2 linked regions of the Sus scrofa genome follow. The protein of the gene in region 2 interacts with the protein of the main gene of each other region in a pairwise test. Links are inferred from orthologs where the notes say so. Each region holds a gene or a part of one and is shown on either strand. Other genes may lie near its edges. The genes, in order: TNP1 and SDCBP2.

Region 1 (2,847 bases), on a different chromosome or scaffold from region 2:
TTACACCATCTGGCTTGAATTGAGTCTCCTAGGCAGTATCCTTGCCTCTGGTCTTGTCCATCTCAAACCCAATGAGGCTTTTACAAGTGCAGGTTGGCCTCTGCCCAGATGTATCCCTAACAACCTGCTAATCATGCCCACGCAATCAGATGAATTGGAAGCACTGAGGGCTCTCTATCCTCTGAGCCATGTCTAATTTTTTGTCTTTTTAGGGCCGCACTCGCGGCAAATGGAGATTCCCAGACTAGGGGTCGAATTGTCTGTGACCTACACCACAGCTCATGGCAACATCAAATCCTTAACCCACTGAGTGAGGCCAGGGATTAAACCCATGCCCTCATGGATACTAGTGGGGTTTATTAACTGCTGAGCCATGACGGGAACTCCTGAGCCATGTCTTTAGCTTTAGCTCATGGTTTGGTGTTTCCATGTTCTAGTCCCCTTGTACCCTTTGCTTCATAATTGTATTGTATGTCTCCCATTTCTCCTTTTATCTCCCCTTTCCATGTTGGGGAGGTAGACAGTACCTTGAGAATAAGACCTCTACATGGTGCTGATGCATGGCCCAAGCTGGGGAGAGAGCTACAAAGACAAATTACTCTGATATTTTCCATGTCATGTTTCATGGTATATCTGCTAATTTTCCCCCAAGTCTGCCCAGCTAGGGAAACCACTGTCCAACCAAAAGAGCAAAGGAAACATACTTTTCAGTTTTCAAAATTTTATTGAGATGTTGGAGAGAAACAGCCAACATATACATTCCTCATTTTGTCGCAACTGGCATTTTACCCACATGATAGGCTCTTCTCTGGCATTGACCTAACTTCAGGTCTCCTTGGTAGTCCTCCTTCTGTTCTCTGTTGCTGCCTGGTGTCCTTGAAGTCTACCAGGGGAGAGCCGCTGGTGGAGTCACAAGTGGGAGCGGTAATTGCGATTGGCTGTAGGAAAAGATAAGTTTGCACCAACAACACCAGTTAGAACATATTCATCCTCTTCCTGCCCACATAGGAACCTAATGGAAAATGAACTTAGCCTGAGGTTTCAGGGTCCCATGAGTGCTGACTCCTACAGGGAGGGCCCTGGGGCGACAGGATGCCCCTTGTCTGACAGCTCTCCCACTCATCCCTCACTCACCATCATCGCACCGTTTTCTACTCTTCAGGCTGCCCTTCCGGTATTTTCTTTTGCTGCCACCTCTCTTAACTCCCTTGTGAGGAGCGCGGTTCTTGCCCCTCCTCATGCCATGGCTCTTTAACTTGCGGCTGGTCGACATTGTACTTTCTGCCAAAATGAGGGGCTTTGCAGGGCCAGGGGGCCAGGAGTCTGGGTATTTAAGGCCTTAGCCATTGTGACTGTGCAGGGGGCGTGGCTTAGCAGGCGGCAGGCTCATTGTGACGTCACTACCCTTTATTACCCTTTGGTAATATAGGTGAAATAAGGTGGCCTTGCTAATGCAGATCAAATCTACTCTCAATTTTGAGGTCTTTTTTGATATTAGGAGATTTTCCAGACAGGTGTTGTTGAGCACCTAAATTCCAGCCCTGTGCTAGGTATCTGGAGAGTATAAGAACCATTAAAACAGATGTCGCCTGCCTATTGGAGATTTAGTGGTTGTTGAGTATGTGTATATGCATCCTGTTTGTCTCCCTTTACAGCATTGGAAGATAACAAATGTGTTTCTTTAAGGACTTTAGGAAATCCAATTCAATACTACCAAAATGTAAATATTCTTCTCTTTCATCTAACTCTTGAGCACAGCTGGCGCTATGGGTTGGATATGCGGGACTGTTGTTAAAAAACAAAATTTAACTGAGTAAGTTGGAAGACCTAACTGGCTTTATTAAATAATTCATGAATCAGGCAGCATCTCCTCTGGCAAACAGAGAGATACTCCAAGGGGTTGCACCACAAGGAAGCCTTTTACAGTAAGGAGAGCCAGGCAGGAAAGGAAGTCCTCAACAAGGAAACAATGAGAGCTCATTGGAGGAAAGTAAAAGGGCAGGTGGTGATGGCTCTCATTGGCTGTGTTGTGAACTTTTCCATTGGCTGGGCTTGTTGCTGGGCAATGGAAGTCTTCCTTCCTTTTGCTGGGGTAGTAAAGTAGTTACACTTCCTATTGGGGTCAGTACCTGATGTCTTCCTGTTGGAATCAGTAACTGATACCATCCTGTTGGGGGGTAATTGACCCTGAGTGGTAGAGTGTGAGAGCTCCCTCTATGGGTACTTAACTCCGATCTTAGTTGAGGTTTCCTTTTCCTAATTCTCATATTGTCTTATGTATGGTAGGATGTTTTGGCAGAATTCCTGGCCTGTACCCATTAGATGCCAGTACAGCCCCTGCAGCTGTGACAATCAAAAATGTTTCCAGAGATTGCCTTGTGGGGAGGAGCAAAATTCACCCTTTGCTGAGAACCACTGGTTTAGCCATTTAAAAAATTCAGTCTGCAAGTATTTATTAATCATGTAGTATGTACCATGCACTTAAGTGCTAGGAAAATATTAGTGAGTAAAAACAGACATAGACTGTGTTCATGGCACTCTCAGCCTAGTGGAAGAGAAACCCATTATCAGGCCAACATAGATCAATGAATAATCACTTCTCGATATGGGGCAAGATGAGGTTGGGAGGAAAGGCAGACACCAGACCAGGCTTAAGTACATTGGGAAGCCATGGGAAAATGTTTAAGGGGAAGATATGATGAGATTAGAGGCTGCTGGATGGAGAATGGATTGATGGGGAGGTGAAATGGGTAAAGGGATTAGAATGCAGAGCTATAGATAGGAGATAAGGACTTGGTGATGGATTGGATTTGGTTGAAGAGAGCAGAGGGTGAGGGAAGTAGGTTT
Region 2 (3,821 bases):
GTTCCCAGACTAGGGGTCGAATCAGAGTTGTAAGCTGCTGGCCTACACCACAGCCACAGCAGCGTCAGATCCAAGCTGCATCTTCGACCTACATCACAGCTCCCGGCAACGCCGGACCCTTAACCCACTGAGCAAGGCTAGGGATCAAACCTGCAACGTCACGGTTCCTAGTCGGATTTGTTAACCACTGAGCCATGACGGAAACTCCTGGAAAAAGTTTCTTTAAAAAAAAAGAAAAAAAAAAGAGTTCCCATTATGGTATAGTGGAAACGAATCCCACTAGGAACCATGAGGTTGCTGGTTCTATCCCTAGCCTCGCTCAGTGGGTTAAGGGTCCCGTATTGCCTCAAGCTGTGGTGTAGGTCGCAGATGTGGCTATGGCTATGGGGTAGGCCGGCAGCTGTAGCTCTGATTCGACCCCTAGCCTGGGAACCTCCAGATGTGACAGGGGCAGCCCTAAAAAGACAAAAAGACCAAAAAAAAAAAAAGGTTAGACGTATATTTATCACACTATCTAGCAATTGCACTCCTGGACATTTATCCCAGAGAAACGAAAACTTAGGTCTGTACAAAAAGCTGGGCACAAACATCCATAATAGCTTAGTCTTAGAAACAACTAAAATGTCCCTTAATGGGTGAAACAAACCAGGCTACATCCATACCAGGGAACACAACCAAGCAATTAAAAGGCATGAAGAGTTGATACACACAACAGCCTGGAGAGATCTCTGGGGCATGATGCCGAGTGGAAAGAGCCTGTCTGAAAAGGTCACACACTATGTGATGCCACTTACATAACCTTCTGAAATGGCAAAATTATAGGGACAAAAACATGCTCATGGTTGCCGGGGACTGGGGCTGGTGAGGGGAGGCTGGGCATGATTACGAAGGGGCCACACAAGAGAGAGCTTTGCAGTGATGACCTCGTTCTATATCTTGATTATGTTGATAGTTTCCAGGGATAAAATGACCTAGAACCTTAGACACACATTGTATCAATGTAAAATGCCTGCTTTGTTGTTGTTTTATCTTTTTATGGCTGCACCTGCGGCACATGGAAGTTCCTAGGCGAGGGGTCAAGTTGGAGCTGCAGCTGCCAGCCTGCACCACAGCCACAGCAATGCAGGATCCATGCCGCATCTGCAACCTACAGTGCAACTTGCAGCAGCACCAGATCCCTAACCCACTGAGCGAGGCCAGAAATCGAACCCACATCCTCATGGATACCAGTCGGGTATGTTACCACAGAGCCACAATGGGAACTCAAAAAAAAAAAAAAAAAATACATCTTCTCTCAAGTCACAGGCCGCTCTTCATTAAAAATGCCTGGGCTCAGGCCTGGTTTAATGCCCTCCTTTCTCATCCAGCAGGCTCAGGCCGGCAGGTCAGAGGTCAAAGAGCAGGCAGCAGCCCTCCAGCCCCAAGGCCCATGGAAAACCACAAAATCTCACAGCCCTTAAAACGAAGACTCAAAAATGAAAAGTGAGGAGTTCCCGTCGTGGTGCAGTGGTTAACGAATCCGACTAGGGACCATGAGGTTACGGGTTCGGTCCCTGCCCTTGCTCAGTGGGTTAACGATCCGGCGTTGCCGTGAGCTGTGGTGTAGGTTACAGACGCGGCTCGGATCCCACGTTGCTGTGGCTCTGGCGTGGGCCGGTGGCTACAGCTCCGATTCGATCCCTAGCCTGGGAACCTCCATATGCCGTCGGAGCGGCCCAAGAAATAGCAGAAAGACAAAAAAAAAAAAAAAAAAAAAAAAAAAAAAAAGAAAAGAAAAGTGCCATCAAGAAACAGAGGCACAGCAATGCTGGGGAAGGATTGTTTCAAGTCTGTTTAAATGGCAAGACCAAGAAGGAGGGATACCAAGAGACAGATACCTACCCTGGCCCCTTCTGGAATCTGAGGCAGGTTCTGCTGGACTTCTTGGCTGGAGAGGGAAAGACCCATATAATTTTCCAATTCCGCCAGGTTTGGGTACAAAACTGATGGGAAGGGAAGGGAGGAAGGAAGAAAAAATGTGTTACCCTGGGCATGAGCTTAGCCACACCCACCTGGCTCCCAGGCGGTCACTCATTTTTATGAAGAAACCAGGCCTGGGGATGCTGTTTACTCGCGAGAATGCAGCATACCCTTGAGAGCACGCTGCATCCCTGGGATCGCTCGCTGGCAGTGACAATGACCGTCCGCTTTCTCCAGGAGTGGCCTGGAACCTCCCTCAGGTACCACTTTGGTTCAACTCAAATGACTTTATTTGGCATCAGCCAGACATCAAACACAAAGGACAGCACCCGTGCTGCCGGAGGCAGGCGTCCCACCCCAGGTCAGCTCCGGGAAACTGCATGGCGAGGAGGGCAAGAGCTGGTCCTGAGTTCAAGTTCGCTACCACAGGACCTGAATCGAGGCGGCCACAAGCAACTCCAGGGCCACCACACCCATCCTGGTCTCCTCATGCAGCCTTCTTTGGGGCCCCAAGTCAGGGCAGCGGGTGCCCTTGCAGAGCTGCAGCTTCCTCAGTGGCAGGCAAGAGGCTGGCACTGGGAAATGGCCAGGAGAGGTCACTCTCAGCCTGGAGCACCCAGGCCACTCACCTGGAGGCCGGGAGTCATGTTCTGGCACTGGCAGGGCGGGCATCCTGGGGACGACTCTGGCCTGGGCCTGGGGAGGAAGGAGGGGTCAGCTGTGGCCGAGACCCCCAGAGCCCCTGGAGCCTGGGGCTCCCTGGAGCTGGGGGTTAGGGCATTAGGAATGCTGGTGGGCCAGGGGGAGGGGTGTTCATGACCCTTTGTGAAAATGTGGCCTCTGGAGATGTCCGTGCTTCTGGAAGGGGGTTCTCCTGGGGCCCATGATCCCCCAGATGTCACGGCTTATTTACCACCTGAGGCAGCCAGACAAATTCTCAGTCAAAAAGTCCCCAGTGCTCAAAACCCACTAGGACATCATGTGGGATGGAAAGAGGAAGGGGTTTCTGGGCTGAGTAGACCAGACGCTGGGGTCTCCTCTGGAAGCTTGTCTTAGAGCGTGGGGTCTGCCCGAGCTTGGGTGGAGGAAGCGCTAGGGTGGGGCTGGCACGAGACAGGTCTGTCTGCAGCCCTTTGGTTTCTCCATTTCTGCTGTAACTGCCTTGCCTCAGCCTCTAGACACCTGCTTTGCCCAGCAGGCCCTGCAGAGGGGGCCCATGGGCCTTGGGGCCTATCAGGAACTCCCAGGGGCCCACAACACTTGACCCAAGACAAGTCCCCCTTAGTTACCCTGGGATAATCCCCAGGGCCCCATCAGGGGACTCAGTGAACAGCCTGGCGGTTTACCTGCATGGCTTGGTCCACCTTCAGGTCCTCCAGAGATGGGTACAGGGTGGACATGGCTGCTCTTTGGAACACACTGCAGGGCACAGAGGGTGAGGGGTGAGAGGAGGCTCGGATGGACGTCACTCAGCACTGTCAGGATGAGAAAGACGTCAGGAAGGTGTTACTATCCCCATTTTAGAGATGGGGCAGCTGAGATCTGACCCAAAGTCTGTTTAGTTCCTGGACCCAAGCTCTCCATCCCTGCAGAATCCCAGCCCATCACGTTCCGCAGAGTCTGGGCTTTCGAACCTGGGCCAGAGATCACCCCAGACAGGCTGACCAGGCAAAGCAGGATGAGGGGCCGCGTTTCAAAGGCCAGACAGGCTTCTGAGGTCTGATCACTCAAGACCTAGATTCAGTCCAACAGAAGAGGTTGGTGAGCAGCTGCTGTATACCCAGGCGGCGCTAGGGGTTTGCGTAGCATCATCCCACAACCATGCAGGGTTCAGTCCAGTGTCAAGTGGGTGGGGACTTAAG

The links.
Region 1: the proteins of SDCBP2 (region 2) and TNP1 interact in binary tests that used the Homo sapiens proteins (3 or more experiments, as listed by UniProt). The two-hybrid records come from large-scale screens. The link is inferred for Sus scrofa from reciprocal best matches to the Homo sapiens genes SDCBP2 and TNP1.

Annotation. Positions count from the first base shown.
Region 1 is NC_010457.5:119,036,788-119,039,634, forward strand, and holds TNP1 (spermatid nuclear transition protein 1), read right to left. Parts: upstream 1,313-2,847; 5' UTR 1,274-1,312; coding exon 1,135-1,273; intron 939-1,134; coding exon 910-938; 3' UTR 705-909; downstream 1-704. UniProt on the Homo sapiens protein: Plays a key role in the replacement of histones to protamine in the elongating spermatids of mammals.
Region 2 is NC_010459.5:33,976,887-33,980,707, reverse strand, and holds part of SDCBP2 (syntenin-2), read right to left. Parts: exon of another isoform or gene 3,594-3,821; intron 3,435-3,593; exon of another isoform or gene 3,379-3,434; 5' UTR 3,360-3,378; coding exon 3,306-3,359; intron 2,656-3,305; coding exon 2,589-2,655; intron 1,983-2,588; coding exon 1,882-1,982; intron 1-1,881.